Linked DNA regions of Alligator mississippiensis. The protein of the gene in region 2 interacts with the protein of the main gene of each other region in a pairwise test. Links are inferred from orthologs where the notes say so. Each region holds a gene or a part of one and is shown on either strand. Other genes may lie near its edges.

What was found.
Region 1: the proteins of EWSR1 (region 2) and MAPK1IP1L interact in binary tests that used the Homo sapiens proteins (3 or more experiments, as listed by UniProt). The link is inferred for Alligator mississippiensis from reciprocal best matches to the Homo sapiens genes EWSR1 and MAPK1IP1L.

Annotation. Positions count from the first base shown.
Region 1 is NC_081825.1:299,288,487-299,298,255, forward strand, and holds the start of MAPK1IP1L (MAPK-interacting and spindle-stabilizing protein-like), read right to left. Parts: upstream 4,254-9,769; 5' UTR 4,083-4,253; intron 1-4,082.
Region 2 is NC_081833.1:26,354,840-26,365,157, reverse strand, and holds the start of EWSR1 (RNA-binding protein EWS), read right to left. Parts: upstream 4,280-10,318; 5' UTR 4,191-4,279; coding exon 4,178-4,190; intron 1-4,177. UniProt on the Homo sapiens protein: Binds to ssRNA containing the consensus sequence 5'-AGGUAA-3'. Might normally function as a transcriptional repressor. EWS-fusion-proteins (EFPS) may play a role in the tumorigenic process.

The DNA of each region.
Region 1 (9,769 bases), on a different chromosome or scaffold from region 2:
CTTAGATTTACTCCAAGTTTTACCATATCCCCACCCCTTCCCTTTTCATAAATCTAAAGCTAACTTTTTAGAAAAAAAACCTATGAAATAGTTCTCCCCTACCCTGGGGGTCTTCAAAAGGAGGTTAGATGAGCATCTAGCTGGGGTCATCTAGACCCAGCACTCTTTCCTGCTTATGCAGGGGGTCGGACTCTATGATCTATTGAGGTCCCTTCCGATCCTAACATCTATGAATCTATGAAATGCATTAAGACAGTGTTTCTCAACCTGGTGGGATGCGAAGGCCGTGTAGGTGGGACGCAGGGAAGCACTTCCAGGTTTGCTCTTCCGCCAGCCACTGGGCACCCCCCCCCCCCCCCAAATCGTTTATCATGCTGGGACTATAAGTACTACTTTTATATTTATGAACAACCTCAATGGAATAGTGGAAATGCATCAATTAAAAAAAAAATCACGAAGCAAAACATCAGACTGACTCCTGAAAAATCTCATGAACTATTTTAAAAGTACTTAACCTGACACCATCCAATTATTTTACTTAAAGTTAAAGGACTCAGTTACAGGGAAGCAGCAAATAAATGCACTGACTGTATCTTGTGCAAAAGGTGGGGCTAGCCGCAAATGGAATTTGAGTTTCAGCTTGAATAGTTTTGCTACGTGCCTCCTAGATGAGCATTACACAAGTACTATTAAGTGTCAAGAGGAAAAAAATGAAACCAACTAAATTAACTGACACAGTTTTTGCACCAGAGTTTAGAGGCTAAAGCAAGTTTCAAATTATTCTTTTTCAGGGGCTGGGAGCAGAGGAGTTATTATGGTTTAAATAGTTTGGCAGGGAACAGGAAAGATTACAGAGTTAGCAACATTGATGTCAAAGTCCTGTCTTTATCCATTCTGCTGCAAGATAAGTCTATAAAAACAAAGGGAAAGGCCCCTCCTCTACCCTTGGAAACTGTCCCTTCTTCCCAAGAGTAAGTTTTAGCACAGGGACTCGGTAGCTTCAGGCCCTGGGGACAGATCCAGTTGCTTTGACACCAAATCAACCCAAATCTTTACCCAGGACTATCAGGGTTAATTTGGAGCCTGCCCCTGAATGTTTCCCTCATCATTTACCCATAGCCGACCCTCGGAGGGTCTGCTAGACCCTCTCATTCCTCCCCCAGAGAGACAACGTACAGCTTTGCAGCAGACTCCAATCTTACCCACCAACAAACAGATATGTAGAGGCCTCCAGGGAGACTATGAAATCCTTCTGCCTTTAGAAGCCCTCAGGTCACAGGAGAGCCAGCAAACTGCCTTCACCCTCCAAAATCACAAGTGGCCAGTTTAACCCAGTTCACTGAACAGAATAAACTAAAACAGCAAAAGGACTTCCTAGCTAGTATAACTGCACCTACATTATGGGTTTTGCTCTGCACAGATATGCCAAAGACTCCAATGTTTTTTTCACAGTCCAAACAAATAATAGTGGTGGCAAAACCACAAATGTAGGATCAATTGTAAAAGGGACACCCTAAAGTTTATCCCACTGCCAAGTTTCTACAGCTCTTTCCTTCAATCACTGTGTCAGTCTATCAAGCTTTTCCTTTCCCACGTTTCATGATTTATCAAAGGACAGGCCAACACACCCTATATGCATCATCGACTCTGACCTCACAACCATGCATCATTATGAGACTATAAATATGACTAGTACACGTGGAGGGAGTAGATTAAGCAGTTAGATCATTCATCATTAGCAAGTTAATCTCGCTTTCGATACCACCATTATCTTCGTGCCAACTAGAAAAGGGCTGGAGTAGGGGTTTTAAATCTTATCAGAAGTTTCCAGACTATTTTGAAGGTAGACATAAGAAGAACAAAAGGGCAAATGCCATAAATACACAGTCAGTGGTAACAATTACCTAGGATTCCAAGAAGACAAAGTAAATTTGCATATAAAGGGAATCATTCTTCAAAATAATTGTCTCCCATCATCCAACCCCCCCCCCCCAAAACAAACCATTTAAGAGCCTTGGTCTGGCAGGCATGTAACTTCCTCCATACTAATATTTCTTGTCCTTCCCCTGTGGGATTTCTGCTCATTGTCTCATTACATTTTTGTTCTTCCACCATCTGTTTGCACTGGGCAGCCAATTCTCAGCTCCATAAAGCTTAAGGCCGGAAGGGACTTTGTTGCACATGACTAAAAGGACATCCTGCTACCCATATAGCGAACCCAATAACCTGGGTTCAACTGAAGTGTAATTTGTATTCGGTTAGAACAGCGGTCCCCGGGTTTTCGGAGCCATGTGCTAACTTAGCCACTGCTGCTTCTCCCTGCCCTCCAGCTGCAGCGTGGACGCAGCTCCCAGCCACCTGGCCCCACGGCTCTGCACGCCAGATCTATATGGGCCATATGTGGCCCACCCCTGGGCTAAAATATTCCTTCCAGAAAAGTGTTTAGTGTTGATCTGAAGACAACGGATGGACAATCCCATTATTTCCATGGGCAGGTTCAATCCTTCCTGTTAAAAATGTATGCCCTATTTCCAGTCTTAATTGACCCAATTTCAGCTTCCAGACGCTGATTTTTGTTAGGTATCCAGGTTGCAGCTGTATTGGTCTAGAGGAAAAAGCAACTGGGACTTGTGGCAGAGGTGGTACCTTTTATCAGACCAACTAGATTTTTGCAAATAAATAAATAAATGCTTTAATTGCAAGTTTTTGGGCACAAACACTCATCAGGCATTGGAGAAAAGATTGTAAAAGTTCTCCTGGGTAGAAATGCAAGTTCATATTTCATAGGATTTCACAGAGGAGTCAATAGATACTCCTCTGGGCCCACCTTTCTTAACTAGTAAGGTGTAATTAATTGCCTGCCCAGAGTGACAGTCCATCTATTGATGACTCTGTATGAAATATGAACTTTCATTTCTACTCAGGAAAACTTTTACAACCTTTTCTCCAACGCCTGATGTTTGTTACCAAAAGCTTGCAATTAAATAATTTATTTTTTTTGTGCAAAAACCTACTTGGTCTAATAAAAGACATGAGCCCCGACTGATTCCTGTTAAGCCTTTTCCCACTAGGTTAAAGAGCCTTTTACTACCTGCATTTTCCTCTTGGACAAAGTGCTTATATGCTATAATGTGCTTTGTATACATTAAAAGGCAAACAGGACTCATAATAATGATCTCTTTTATTAAACCAAGATTTTTGCAAAAATTAAAGACATTTTTAACTGCAAGCTTTCAGGCACAAAATTCAAAGCTTGCAATTAACGATTTTTTCTCTTATTTTTGCAAAAATCCAGTTGGTTTAATAAAGGAAATCACCTCTTGCACGAGTCCCGATCGACTCTTGTTCAGCCTTTTCCCGCTAGGTTGAAAAGCCCTTTATTACCTGCATTTTCCTCTTGGACAAAGCGCTTATACGACACGCGGGGCGGGGAGGGGCGGCGCTTGGTAGCCGCGTCGGCCCCAGACGAGACGACGTACAAAAAACCATGACTCTTGGCTGCAAAACGATGCCTGTTATTAAACCACCTGGGAAATCGCAAGAAAACGGTCCTTGCCCGATGACGGGACTTTGATCCCCCAAAGCTTGTAGAAAAGCACCATTTTCTTGCGATTTTCCCCAGCTGGTTTAATAACTGGCATCGTTTTGCAGCCAAGTCATGGTTTTTTGTACGCTGTGATGTTTATACCTGCAGGAACCTCGGCGGCGTCGCCCCAGACACGCCCGTCTCCATGCGCGTCCGGCACAGCGCCTGCCCCTGCCCCGCCACGAGGGACCCCGGCCCTGGCCCCGCACCATATTTCTGTCATTCGTCAATTTTATCAGCAGTTGGGTTTTTATATTTTATTTTATTTCTATTTTATTGTTTTACTTTATTATTCGCGAACACGTCCCCCCGCGTCCAGACCCAGCGCTGTTCTCCACTGCCCCGCCCCGCCCCGCCCCGCCGGCAGCTTCGCCTGCCCACACACGAGCGGGGTGCCGGGGCCTCCTGGCGGGCGTCGCCCCGCGCGTGCCCGTCGCAAACCGGCCACCACACGCACCCCCGGGGAGGAGCGGGGGCGGGGGAGCCCCCCCCTTACCTAAGGCGGGACGGGGACGAGGAGGAGGAGGAGAAGGGCGCGGAAGCGGCCCGGCAGCGGCGGCGGCGGCGGCGCGACCCAAGCGGAAGCGGAAGCGTGTCCTGACCCCGCTCCGGAAGGGCACGACCGCTCGTCCCGCCCCTTCCGCACGTCAGCGCCCGCCGCGTCACGTGCTGGAATGCGGAGGGGAGGGAGTCACGTGGTGCGGGCCGGGCCGGGAGGAGGGAGGCCTCTAGCGGCGGCGCGCGGAACTGCGGGGGGAGGGGGCGGGTCCGCCCATGAGCCACCTACGTCCACCCACCGCACTGCCATGCACACACACACCCGCCCACGAATCAATCCGTGCACACACCCATCCTTCCTTCCATCCACATCCATGCACACACCCACCCACCCAGCCACCAATCAATCCATGCACACGCCCATCCTTCCTTCCTTCCATCCACCCACCCGTCTACATCCATGCACACACACACCCACCCACCCACGAATCAATTCATGCGCACACGCATCCTTCCTTCCATCCACCACCCACCCACCCACCCAGCCACGAATCAATCCATGCACACACCCATCCTTCCTTCCTTCCATCTACCACCCACCCACCCATCCACATCCATGCACACACCCACCCACGAATCAGTTCATGCGCACACGCATCCTTCCTTCCATCCACCACCCACCCACCCACCCAGCCACGAATCAATCCATGCACACACCCATCCTTCCTTCCTTCCATCTACCACCCACCCACCCATCCACATCCATGCACACACCCACCCACGAATCAGTTCATGCGCACACCCATCCTTCCTTCCATCCACCACCCACCCACCTGTCTACATCCATGCATACACCCACCCACCCAGCCACAAATCAATCCATGCACCCATCCGCCCACCCACACAACCACCCAGCCACAAATCAATCCATGCACACCCCCTTCCATCCATCATCCACCAGTCCATTCACACCCACACACCCACCCAGCCACAGGTCAATCCATGCGCACACCCATCCTTCCATGCATCCATCATCCACATCCATCCATCCACCCAGCCACAAATCAACCCATGCACACACCCCTTTCTTCCATCCATCCACCCACCCAGCCACGAATCAATCCATGCACACACCCATCCTTCCTTCCTTCCATCTACCACCCACCCACCCATCCACATCCATGCACACACCCACCCACGAATCAGTTCATGCGCACACCCATCCTTCCTTCCATCCACCACCCACCCACCTGTCTACATCCATGCATACACCCACCCACCCAGCCACAAATCAATCCATGCACCCATCCGCCCACCCACACAACCACCCAGCCACAAATCAATCCATGCACACCCCCTTCCATCCATCATCCACCAGTCCATTCACACCCACACACCCACCCAGCCACAGGTCAATCCATGCGCACACCCATCCTTCCATGCATCCATCTTCCACATCCATCCATCCACCCAGCCACAAATCAACCCATGCACACACCCCTTTCTTCCATCCATCCACCCACCCAGCCATGAATCAATCCATGCACATACCCATCCTTTTATCCATCGTCCACCCACCCATCCACTTCCATCCACCTACCCAGCCACAAATCAATCCATGCACTCATCCATGCACACACCCATCTTTCCATCCATCCATCCATCCATCACCCACCCACCCATCCACATCCATGCATCCACCCACCCACCCAGGCATGAATCAATCCATGCACACACCCATCCTTCCTTCCATCCATCACCAGCCCAGCCATTGACACCACCATGCATTCATCCATCATCCACCCACCGACCCAGCCATGGGTCCCTCCATCCACCTATGGATCCATCAATCCACCTATGGGGCCATCCATCCACCTACCTACCTCTGCCCATCGCCACCATGGTAGTGTAGGAGTGATATTGTAGGGACGACGGACTAGAAACTATGCCAGAGGCAAAGATTTCTTCAGGTGGGATCTTCCATTGGGCTAAATGCAGTTGGGATAAACTACATGGTTGGTCCAATACAAGACATCACCCTAAGAAATCCTTGCCTTCACATCTTGTAGAAGTAGATTTGCACCCTATAGACTAACCAACAGCAAACCTGGTTTTCTCTGATTTTAAAAAATATCCCCAATTTTCCATTTAAAAAAAGTAACCCCAAATCCACATTTTTCCATCATTAAAGTGAAACACCGCTCTCTCTCTCTCTCTCTTTATTGGTGTTTCATTTAAATCACAGAAAAACATATATTTTTTTAACTGAAAATTGGGGATGTTTATAAATCAGAGTAAACCAGGATCCCTGCTAACCAAAGTACACGCATGTGTGTGTGTGTGTGTGTGTGTGTTTATATATGTAAATGTGTATATGTATGTGTGTTTATCTATATGTGCATACAGTATTCATGTGACATGATGTTTATGTGTGTGTGTGTGACTAACCCAATATAGAAGGTTCATTGCTTGTTAATAGCAAGGCCTCTGGACAGACGCGTGTGTACGTGTGTGTGTATATTTATGTACACACACACACACAAGCTTCCATGAGCTGAAGCTCACGTCATCAGATGCCATGAAAGGATGAACACAAAGCAGTGTATAAAAAGAAGAGGGGAGGGGACAAATGCTAGAAGAGGCAAACAAATAAGCAGTAACGAAGTGAGCTTCAGCTCATGAAAGCTTGCACCATACATAGTATACAGGGTCTTCATCAAGTCCTTCTGCACTTGTAAACTTCAATAACTTAAGGTTGTGGGTATGGTAAAAACAATCTGTAAACAGCATTGAAAAGCAAATTTATTAAAGTTTTAGGACAACTGGAGTACACAACGCTAGACTTCAACATAACCACCGTCCATCGTGATACAGTGCTCAATCCGATTTTCCAACTCCTTGAAAACATTTCCCAGTTGCTCTTGAGTTACTGCACTAATTGCGTGGGTGATCCTAGCCCTAAGTTCCACCAAAGAACGTGGTTTTGACAAGTAAACTACGTTTTTAACAGGTCCCCATAAAAAGAAATACAACGACGACAGGGCAGTCGATTGGTCCACCTCTGCCTACCCACTTCTCTGGGGAAAAATCATTTAGGAACTGTCGTACGTTCAGAGTATAGCGGCACGGAGCTCCATCCATCACAGGTCTCTCTCTCCACCTCGTGTACCTCGTGCTGTGCTGTCCAGAGCCCTGCCAGTAACCTTCTATATGGTTTTAATGTCACAAATTACAATGAAATTCGACCTGAAATGCATATTCTCTATTCTGCAAATGTTTATGGGTGTGATTATTCTACGGGACTGCTGGTGGCGGTGAGGTTCAGATAGCATATACGAGTCTATAGGATCGGGACTCTCATCCCATGCTCGTTGCTGATGTCCCCGGTGTGCCTCTATTATAAATGCTCAAGGTCCTGACCTGCTCCCCTTGGCAGACAGTGGGGAAAACACTTCAACAGGAGCAGGCACCAGTGTTATTGTAGCTGGAGGAATTAAAATGTAGTAAGTTCGCTGATGCCGCTTATTTGCATCAAACACTGTTTCCTAAATCTTAAGCCCCAATTCTTTTATGAAGCAAACGACCATTTAATATTATCCCTGATCCTCAGTTCACTCAGCATTTAACCAGGTATCTAAAGCCCGTTTTCAAATCCTTTTCTTCTTTAATGTTATCTTCGGGCTTTTTGATGGATTGGCCACGATCTTTATCACTGGTGGGTCTACCAAGAGGACCCCCCACTTGGAAAAATAAAAAATTCGAATAATAGTCAAGCTGTCCTTTTTCCCAGCACTGCGCCATTCACAACAGCTGATTTCAAACTAGAAAAGTCCCATATACTCCAGGGAAAAGGGTCCCCACATGCACAGCATACACAGCAGTGACAGCAGGAGTTCAGACGGCGCCTGCATTTTACTTGAACAACACAATAGCTAGAAATGTTAATGAGCAACTAAGGAAGGTTGCGACGTCTTACCGTAAAAATTGAACCAGACTTGCCATCCATCAACAACTCGACAAGTCTACTAGCATGCAGCTAGGGACAGGTGATGTGTTTTATGCATATGTCTTTCTTCCCTTCACAAGCAGCAGAAAGGACCCTGTTTTTGCACAAAAATCCATTGGTACCTCCTGTTTGCCATTTATTTCAACACATGCAGAAGGAATACGTGCTTTGAGAAAAAGTAGCCTTATGGGTTTTGTGTGCAACTCTTCTGTGTTACAGTCGGGAGTTGGTAAGCATGTATGTGTGTATACACACACTCCCTGTATTTACCAGACAACACTACTTGTGCATTGTAAAACATTTGGGAAAAAAAACTAACACAATCGAATAAAAGCCCATTCTTATCACTGGCAGACAAGGTTCTTTGGGTGAATCTGATATCTTTTATTAGACCAACTCAGAGTTGGAAAAATTCTTCTTAGCAGGCTTTCGGGTGTAAGTACCCTTCATCAGGTTGAGGAAGCATCTGCAGCTGGTGTACACCCCTGTTCCTACCACTTGCACGTGGCTCTCACTGAGGTCAGCAGAAGCAATAGAAAACCGATGGCTTTTTTCATTCCTTAATGAAGAACATGTTTTACACTGTTTTCCAGGCATGATTTTTGAAGCTTGGGATTGTATCATGTGAATGCGGATTTTGGACAGGATGTGATTAAACACAGGCTGCATTACAGGTATGCACTGCAGGGATTTGATTCTCTTTTAGTGGCAGTGTTGTCATTCTTAGGCACTCGCTGTGGACTGGGGTTTGGAAAAGATTATTGGATAATACTTACTCTAAAATCGAAGGCATGAATAACGAGTATCAGCAGCATCGTGATCATGCGAGGAACATTAGCAACTTCATTGCCCATAGATACCTACATGGCTACATTAGGGTTGGAGGGATTTAAATACTGGTAAATGAAAATTTGTACCCTTCACCTTATGTTTTCAGTTATATTTCATGGTGTTTGTATTTTTGCATTCCTAAACAGTGAGACGTAAGGGACAGCAGGGAAGATCTGGAGATAGGACAAATATCAGAGAGGAATTCTCATCGCACCCTCCGGGCTGTGTGCATCACAAACAAGGCACCTAGAATAACAACACGGGCTTCTTTTGCACATTTGCATAAATCCAGCTCTTCAGACCCAAGAAACCCATTGCAGAATGGAGAGGAGGCCTCTTTTTAATACCCAGCCAAATAAAAGGATTTTTTTTGCACAGTTCAAGTTAGAAAACTGATTAGTCAAGATAGGACAAAAATGCCAATCACTCAAAATAGAGTAGAATCATAAAGTTATAAGAAAATAAACTGCGGATGTATAGTGCTGGTTCTTACTGGGGTATCCTCCTGCAGTTTTTATATTCAGGCCTCACTGTGCACTGGGAACATCATGCACTTGAAAGAAATAGCGGAGCCACCCTGAAGCTAGATTTTAAAAGGCTACCAGATGGTATGTTCAATGCATGCGGTAAGCTTTTATGTGCTTCTCCCCTATGGCCAATCACTGCCTGATAATTTATTTCATAACCCTCATAAAATAAATCACTCTGAAAATCACGATCTCTTGAGCTAATACATGCTCTTTCTCTAGGCAAATCCTCGTTGCTGGGAAGATAAAGTCATAAACCTGGTTCAAAGGGCAATACGAGGGAATATCCATTCTCTTTAGAAAAATCAGATGGACTGGATT
Region 2 (10,318 bases):
GAGCACAGCCCCCACACGCTGGAAAGAGCCTGGCGCAGCCCTAGCCCTAGCCTGCAGCTGCAACCTACCCTGTGACCCCCACCCTGCGCAGATCCAGGGCCCATGCCCTTCAGGGGTGCACACAGCAGCAGGAGCTGCTCCCCACACAAGCCGTGGCTCCGTCCCATGCCCCGCCTGATCTGGGCAGTGTCTGACCCAGCCCCACTCCCTCATCACACCTTCCCTCCCCCTTCCCTGTCCACAACAGACTTATCAGCTGCACATCTTAGTCCCCAAAATCTCTATCAGTGCGCCCCTAGAATTTCGTCATTTATTTGCTTTAATTCCTTCATCTTCCTAGCTTCTTGTAATTAGAAATGTACATGGATCCAGAACCTCCCCCCCCAAAGATGTTTAATTTTTTATATAAACAGAATTGTACTGTATACCAGAAGTTCTTATTTCTTGAGGTCAAAGACCTTCAACAACACAGCTGTCATTTCTGTTCATCCTATCATGTCATATGCAGACTGAATTATACAGGTGTTCGTGTCCCTCCTACTTCAACTTGGGAGTGGTTTTGGGAGCTCAGGCATTGGCCAAATTTTCAGGGGAGGAAGGAGAGAAATGCAGATGTAACTACCGGTATACAACTTTTGACTAGCTTACACAGTATTTCATATCGAAATGAAGGAAATAAAACTATTGTATTAGAGAGGGTAGGTGGCAGGGAAGTCTCCCCCAAATGTTATTTTTAGACTAACCATCTGAGGTAAACCACAACCAAAAAAGCTGTTAGTTTGAAGACCCTTAGAGTTCTAACAAATTAGTCTATTATGTTCTAGCATTGCTTTTGCTTTTTTAAATATCACCATTTCCTTCTCTCTTCACTTACAAATGAACACACCCAATGCTTCTGAGACTAGCCCTTGTAGCTGAACAGCATGTAAAGTATGGCCAACAGTTGTACGTTGAGAGGAGACTGGTCACTCACCAATTCTGCCATCTCAGGTTTATCTCAAGAACAGTGGGAGAGGCACAACTAGACAGAGTAGAAACTATTCTGATCTCACCTTCACCAGGTACCCTGACAGTAATGAACCAGGCCTTAGAAACAGAGAGGGAATTACAGCCTCTCTCTATACAGATTTGAGAATCTATTGTACAACCCTTCAGTAATAATACTCATTTTTCCTTATTTTCTCTTACTTCCTTTTAGCAGCCTCCAAGGTATTATGTTTTTGTTAGTTTGCTTTTTTACCTCTTTGGACTTCAAAATTTAGCTAAATAAGCATATTATGTTACATGTCTACCTTTATTAATTCCCCCTTTCAATTTACTAGAACATGTGGACTTGTCAAAACAAACAAATCACCACTAATTTAGCTAAACCTTCTCTGAAACTTTTATTTCTAATAGAACCTGAATCTTCTCTCCTGTTCTGTTATATAAGGCTTATCAGTACAATGGTGGTATGCTACAACAGCACCTCCACAGAAAGAACAATTTCATTTATTAAGTAGAAAAAAAGGCCTTTAAAAAGATCTGACAATTTATTTTATGAGTTAAGGTAGCGTTAATCAGTGACACTTTCCTTGAAAGTCCTTTTCATTCTGGGAAAATCCAATCTGGTTGGGTTTAGCTTTAACTCTCGTTTAACATGATAGTCCAAGTAGCCTGACCTACTTTATAAAACTTGTGTCCATTTAGAAGGCTGACATCATTTTGTATTTTCTTCTCCCACACTTCATTGATTTTCTCCACAAAAAGAAAAAACATCTGCCAGAAGTTCCATGATGAACACAGGGAGGAAAAAACCCACTAAATACTTAATATATTCTTAAAAAAAACATGAAAAACCATTCTAATAGCAGAAAAATATGTTGAGTCTCCACTGAAAGCACCTTTACAGTACTTAATTTTAAAAACTGCAAGACTTGAGATGTTCAAATTAAAGGTGAACTAGTGCAGTAGATTAAGGCTTTCTGATGAGTCATGAGGCAACAAGAAGCTTTGGTGAATGAAGAAAGTGTGTTGGGTTTTTGTTTTATTTTTGTAGTTAGCAGCTCCCAGAATGGTCCTTCTAGTGCCAAAAATCTACTGAATTAATACTTAAACCATATTAGGGGACAGAATCATAATACTGCCTTTGTGGTTAGTGCAGCTAGGCAGTTAATCAAGCTCCCAAATGTTATCAAAAGGTGCCAGGTACAGAACTGTATTAAGGTACCAGGGCAGAATTAATCTACTACCTACACTGCATAACTGAACTATATTGTGTCATGAGGCCCTGTGACAAATATAACCTGGTTACATGTGTAGCTAGTCAAAGATAACCAGGTGCTTGCTTGAAGCAAGCAAACTGATTTTCTCCAAAGAAAAGTATTATCTATTTACCCTTCCACTGCTATGACTACACATCTACAAGTTGAATTCAAGCAACATCACTGAAAGGCATTTTTAGCAGGGTTTAGACAGCTTGTATGGATAAAACTTGTAACGACCTGATCCATGCTAAGGCATTTAAGATCCATGCAAGTCCAAAGCAGATTTACAAACACTTCAAAAAATACTGAATCCTAGCATGTACATCAGTCTCCATCTTCTCATCTACACCACTCCTGTACATAACCTGAACTTCAGCAGTCAAAGGCATATTTGCTTAGGAAAGCCCAGGCATGAAATGCTGAATGCATTTCATGGCTAAAGAGGGGGTGGGGGGAGGGGAAACAAGGTTCCTCCATTTTGGTATGTGAATTTCAATAAAAGAACTCAAAATTAGTCTAGTATTTAATATAACCAAACACTTAATCCTACTTCTTCTGTGATCCCAGCAACATCATACACTGATTAAAGGTTGCTGACATGCCAACCCTATTTTCAAAGGTGTACGCTGCACAAGATTTCTGTCATGTAATCACATCAGACTAACAGTTATTCAGCCTGTATTTTTGCTTAAATGGAACTGTAATTATTTGTATATGTATATCCCAACTCTTGCAAGAGAAAAAAAATTCAGCTGTATTCAAAAGTTGGAATTTTAACTATTTAATGCCAATTGCTCCCCTGTATTGGAAAAGGAGCAAGGATCAGAACACATTAAGGACAATTTTAAGGCAGGAAGGAAAAAGCAGCATTATAAACCTCATTTCAACACGTAACTTATTAGACATAATTTTCTTTTTGTCCAATGAAAATGTAACAGCCAGCCAGGATGAATTAGTAGATATTACTAAAGCCTGAACCTGCAGAGGGAAGCTGCCAAAGTAGTGCTGGTCCTAGCAGTCCTAATAATTACACAAAGGGATGTTAATGCAGAGACGACTTAAAGAGCACCAGAGAGGCAGCAAAAGATAAGCTGTAACTGGACCAACTCCTGGACCCTCTCCGATGAAGTCGTACAGCGAGCACCACCGACCCCGGGCCGTGGGGACCAGAGCAGCATCTGCCCCTGCACTTCCACAGGCTGAGCTGCTGCCGTCCTGGGGTTGTTCTTACCACCGCACCTGCCTGGAGCTCGGTGCCCAGCGCAGCCCTGCCCAGAGCTCTCGGCTCCAGCGAGACAAAACCTCACGGGGCCCACGGCTCCCTTTCCCCCGCCCGGGTGGGAGCCCTTGCCTGCAGGCCCCGGCGGCTCCCGATGCAGCGGGGCAGGCGCCGCCCGAGGCATCCGAGCAGCGGCCACAGGCCTGCAACCGCGGGGGGCGGGGGAGCTGCGGGGGGACGGTCAGGTGACCCGCGCCCGAGCCCAGGCGCGACGGCGGGCGGGAAGGGAGGGGGCGCGCCCCGGCCCCGAAGCAGATCTGCGCCCGCCCGCCCGGCCCGGTCACCCCCGCACGGGAGGGCGCGGCCACGGCATGGCCTGTCCCTGCGGAGGCCGCGTGGCCGGGCCGGGCCAGACCCGCCGCACGTTACACAATGGGGCCGGCCGGCTGGCCGGCCTCCCCGCGACCCCGGTCCGCCCCCCCGCGCCGCGGAACCTTCCAGAACCGCCCCCGGCGCCGGGGGGGAGGGGGCCGGTACCGGGGGAAGGGGGGGGCGCTCGGGCGGGGCCGCGGCCTCTGTCCCGCGCTCGGCCTCGCCTCGCCCCGCCGGCAGCGGGACGGCTCCGCCGCGCGGGCGCGCTCCGGGGCTGCCCTGGGTTCTCCTGGCCTGGCCTGGCCCGGCCCCGCCGCCCCGGCCCGGCCCCGGCGCTCACCCGTCGACGCCATTTTCTCTCCTTCCTCCTCGTTCTCTCAACGTCCGTCCGGGCTCTGCCGCCCGCACTGCGCATGCGCAGCCTTTCCCACCTCGGGTGCTACCACTCCGGGACGGGGGAAAGAAGCAGGAGCCTGCCTCCGCTGCGCCGGGCCCGGCTCGTCCCGCCCTGCCTGTGACGAGCCGTATGGCCCAGCCCAGCCCAGTCAGGCACCCGAAAGAGGGAACGGGAGTTGTCCTCGTGATTTACGTCTGCTGGCTCTCCCCCCAGAGGGTGTGGAATGGTTCAGTCCATCCACTTTAGGGATCGTGGCACAATAGGCGCCCCAGCCGGGAAACGTAGAGCAGGCCTCAGAGGCGGGGCTAGGGCGCTTTTGGCCTTGCAGTCGTTTCAGGCCAAGGGGAGGTTGAGTGACCTTGCTGGAATGCGTCCCCGGGGAGCGCGCGGGGGGTAAGGAGCGAGCCCTGCTCTCGGATTTGCTACCTGCCCAAATACCAGCGGTGCAGACGACGTCAACTGCTTTAAAACCTCATCAGACAGAGCCCGACATCATTGCACAGACTTGCAGCATTGCATGATGTCATGGCATGGAGCTGCTGGGCACTGGCACAAGGGCACCAACTGCAGCGTTGGGATCTGGCGTTGCATTCTCGTGGGCAATAGCAGCAGGCGCAATCCTGGCACGGTGGCATGAGGTTATCACGTGCAAGTCGTTCGCTGACATGCTGGTGAAATGCAATCACCCAGGCTCACCCGGATGTCCTCGTGTGTCAGATGTCAGCATGGTACCATCACGGAGTCACTGTTTGCTGGCATGCTGTTAGGACCAAGAATCACAGTGCCAAGGTGTCTTAATGCAGCGGGTTAATGAAGACCTTTGCCATGTATTGTGGTGCTGCATTGCCAAAATACTGATGTTACACAGACTTTAAAAGCAATCCAGGGATCTGTGACTCAGGGCAGAACAATTTTACATTGTCCAGGACAGGTGACTGTGACAACTTTACAGGTTACCTAGAGTGCAACACACTTAATCTTTGAGGCCAAGCCTATACTCTCTTCACTATTCCAGATTTGTGCCATATAAAAACCTTCCCGCGAGGTAGTTGCATAATTAGACTAAAAGTAAACCATTTTGCTGACTTTCCATCCTTTCTAGCAAAGGTGTCAACAGTATAAACTTAAATATGTACAGTATAGGGGCACCCAAACTTCTGTCTTCCACACTTCAAAATCCACATCATTCCCAGCTCTTACTGTGCATCTCACGTTAGCATTTCTGTTCAATATTTATAAGCTGGATACTTTAAAAGCTGCAAGTAGTAGAAAGTAGATTATCTAGTGGCAGATGTCAAGATCAGCATGTCCCCCATGCCTAGATATTTGATTACCCTAATCACTGCCACTCTATATCTTCAAGGGATTTTCTTCACAACCTGAAAGGAGAGAAACCAGTTCTTATTAAACTAAAACTTAAATTCTGTAGATAATTCATTATCCTCAGAAAAGAGCTTGCTGACTCACCCATGTGTTGGGCAGGAGATGAATTCCCACTCAGAACTGTGGACTGATTTGTTTAAAAAAGCTGACATGCCAACAGAACCAAAGACTGCTACCAGTGTATCTCTGCCTTCCCTTTGTGTTATCATATATGTATGTGCAATCCAGGTACAAAGTGCCAGCATAAATGAGAACAGCAAAGGAGCAAGGCCATGGAGAAGCAGGCCTCAGGGCCCAGTTTCAGCCCTGATGCAAGTTCTTATTGATCTAGGTTTGGAATCAAAAGTTCAGGTAACCACAGTAACTTAAGCCAAAGCACTCCAAATTTACACTGACTTGAACCTAACAGGTGCAGCTTAATGTGAACTATTTAGTTTCCAATTCAAATTTGGAGAGCCTAAGCCTACCTCAAGGAGCCTCTGCTACCAAGTAGGGATTTGCTTCTCTGGAGCTTGTCTTTACAACAGTAAGAAATTGCTATCTCAAGCATTCTTCCTCTAGCAGAGTTTTGTTATGTAATTTAGGTTGCAGCAAGTTAATGGATGAAACAGTAACAATAATGATACTTAGTAATTTCTTAGTATTTCTAATACTTAATGTTTGTGTGAAATGTCATTGATCTGTCCTCAGAACAGCCAGGCGTGGTCAAGTGAATTATTTTTTTCAAATGGGGAAACTGAGGCACAGAATGGGAAAGCAACTTTGATGAGAAACAAGAAGATCTTGTCTCTGAAGTCTGAATACATCTACTACATTGCACTGACTCCTGTTGTCAGGAGGTTTGGGGAATTCTCGTATGTGATTCTTGAATTATCACTGTTACAGTTACAAGGCAATTTATACCCAATGATAATAGGACTAGTGCTGACCTCTAACTGCCTCCAAGGCATTTAAGATGCATGAATAAAGTTTTAGAATTGTTAATATAATTCCCTGCTTGGCAAAAAAAAAAAAAAATCCTGAAGGGAAATAGCTTGCCATCAGTTACTGCCAAATTTGGGAAATGTCTTTTAATGAAAGAAGATTCCAAGCAGGCCCCTTTGGGACAACAGAACAAGGTATTTGGAAGGTCTCATTAACGCTCACTCCCACATGATTGTTCATTCCCCTTCTAGCTCAGAGAGAGGTGAATCAAATTTTCCTGCCTAGGATGAAGGAAACTGATCCTAAAACTCATACACAGGTAAGCTGGAAAAATGTTTGTTGGACAATCTTAATTATTCATTCATTCTCCTCCAAAAGTCTCATGTCATCTGCATCCAACCACCAGTTGCCACAATAGTAAAAAATGTCAAAGATCCACCCAAGTCTAGAAGCATGTTAGCTTCTGTAGCCGGTGGCACACACAGTAGTGAAGTGGTTAGCAACATGTCTGGTTGCCTTTGATTCTCCAGCCTGAATGACCAGGTGCCTGCTTGAACTCATGCCTCTGGAGATGTATCAAGACTCCTTAACCACTTAGCTACCATGTCCCAGCTATTACAGCAATAGTGGTCAGCTAAATTATTTAGTTATTACTTAGATCATCCATGAGGTGAAAATGTACCCTGCCTTCTGCATGACTTCAGACTAACATGGCTAACTACCTCTTTCAATTCTATTATTATGCACCTATAAAAGAATGGTGTGGCCCATCTGTAGAACACTGCACAAGCTCTGGTCACCTGTGCAAGAGCCTGGCTAGTGGTAAAGGAAGAAGAACACAAGGAACTCAGGGATGTCAAACAACAGTGGGCATGTCTACACATGTATCAATGCGCTGTAATTACTGCACATTAAGTTTAATACCTGAACAGGCACTAAATACACAGTAATAAGCACTACTACGCAGTAGCACCAATGCATGTCAATTAAGTGAAGCTAATGTTCAGAAGACTAATTCTACTCTGCATTAGCAGTTTTCACTGTAATGCACAATAGAATCAGTCTACTGCACTTTTAGTATTTCATGTAGACGTGCCCAGTGTGGAAAACACAGCAGGAAGAAAAAAAGAATTGTAGGTCACTGACCCTGAGTAACTACCATTGCCTGGGTATTGCAGCACCATCCCACAATGCACTGCAAAAGTGCCCTGCACTGCATTTCATTGGAAGGTGGTACCACTGGGATACCTACCCTTGGTGCAGTTTGGCAATAGCCAGCACAACCCAAAGGCTGAAGACACGGCACCAACCTGGGCACTCAAGTGCGTGTGCTCTCCAATGACATAATAGTATTGGCTGTTGTAAGCCAACATGCTATGGTGGCCCATCTTTAGTGCAGACCTGGCCTAAGTCCATCTACCTGCCAGTATAAGATTGTTCCCTAGTGGTCACAACATCGGACTGGAAGTTCTTGTCTCTGCTCTGGTTTGAAGCATCTACTCTTTAGACTGACAAGGTTCTTTGGGTAAATGTGATATCTTATTAGAGCAACTAAATAGTTGGAAAAAATGTTCTTTGCAAGCTTTGGATACAAACACCCTTCTTCAGGCAGAGGGAGAGTCAGGTGTTTGTACCTGAAAGATGCAAAGAATAATTTTACCAACTATTTAGTTGGTCTAATAAAAGATATCATATTTACCCAAAGAACCTTGTCTGCCTATGTCCTGAGACCATCATGGCTACAACCAACACCCATGAAATGTAGAAGATACTCCTTAGACTGGCATAACGTGCTCAGTTACTTCAGATGGATACCATGGGAGCTGATCCAAAAATCACTGCCGTAGCTTTCTGCTTCATATCCACTCCGCTCCCACCCCCTTGCCCCCTCCCAACATGCACACAGTCTAGTTAAGCAAGGAGCCTCTCATGACTTTGTTTGCACTTGTATTCATCAGGAATTCTTCCCCCAGTTTCATACAGCTGTGTGTGTGACAGCAATAACATGCGTCAGAAATTGAACTGGGGTCATACCTGAATATGGGCTTAATTCCTGCTTTCCCTGAACTGCCCTCTTATACTCTATAGGATCTCAGCTTCCACCAAGGAAGTCTCTGTCCCTTGTGTCTATAAAAAAACTTCAAAGTGATGCCTGGTCCCTAAAACAGTGATTCTTCCTCGAGTCTGTCAAGGACCTGAAAGGGTGGAGTAGTGCAAATGGCTCCAGTCACCTCAGTGAAGATTTATCTTAGAGGTCCAATGATTGTAGTTTAAATTTAATTGCAGCTCACTACTTCGCTGCTAGAACTGAGCAGGGAAAGAGCAGTCCTACAGATCCAAGGATAGGAGAGTGGGGGTGCTCAGTACCAACCTCAGGCTTCTTTACTGAGCAGCCTGCTGGCCTCCTCCTTGCAGACACATCTACCCACCCCTCCTAGCCTTCTGTTCTCCCACAGATTCCCAAGGTACCCCAAAGTCCTTTTACCCTACCCCCTTCTCCACGCTGGTCTCTGGCTTTTCCCCCAAGCTATCCAGCTCCCCCCAAACATCTTCACAAACATGGCTCACTCAACTTTTCCCGGCAGCCACTGCAAACCTTGCCTTCCTCTGTTTCCTTGACTTTTACCCTCAGTTTGCTATCCTGAGGCAGCCAAAGAGACCCAGCTCCTTTCCCTCTTGCCTCCACAACACAACTTCCCCCAGCCAACCCCTCTGACAACTGCTGCCACTGCCAAGTTCTGTGCAGCTCCATATACTAAACCTTTGGGTACTGCTCAAGGTAAAGGTTATATTATGGGCATGCACAAATCGCATGCAAATTATTCAAAAAGCTAATTTAAATACTTGGAAATAGCTTGTACACAGTGGGCCACAAACCAAGCAGCTGTGAACTCACTGCATCTCATTTCTAGAGCTTGGGAGGATGGGCCCTGGCTGGTAGATAGAGGTTGGCATTGGCACAATGCTCTCCCGTGTGGACCCTGCGAGCCCCTGGCAGAAACCGGGGAGAGGCCTGGGACAGCAAGACCTAGAATACCCTTGTACTCTATGATGTAAGGTGGCCATCATAGAGGACCGTCTGGTTGTCCTCTGTCCTCTATTGATAGGAAACCAGATGCCTTTATGTCCTCTATTTTTCCCTTGAAGAGAAAAATAGAGGACATAAAGGCATCCAGTTTCATATCAATAGAGGACAGAGTAGCAGAAAAATGGAATGTCCTCTAGGATGGCCACCCTAACTCCTATACTTGCTAGTAGAAATGCAACCACACTGGAGTTTCTTCCCACCCACTTTAAGTAAGGGGCTTCCACAGCTACTACAAAGCAAATAATTAAGTATTTCCACATTCATACTGATTCCCAGAGCTGCTCAGTTTGAAATAAGACCAATGTATAATATTACATTTCCACTTCTCTCCATTCAGGGAAGTCTTGGACTCCACCAAAAGTTATTCCTTGGCTGACTGGAAAAGAAACAAATGACCACAAGCTTTGGATGATCTTTGTTTACAATAAGTTGGTGACTCCTGCTCATGCATTGAACAAGCTAATCAAAGATACTGAGTCCAGGTGGCCAGCTGGGTTAGCATGGTGTAGGCACACAAGGCAGCAACATCATAAACTTCATGTCCAACCCACTTTGACTGCTCAACCAAAACCACCAGGCTGCAGCAACTGGGAGCACCAGCTTAGAGCAAGCCTTGAACTCATACCTTTGCCACAAACAACCTGGACTACTCTGCCATTGCCTTGAACAAAGCATTAAAGCTCATGGGG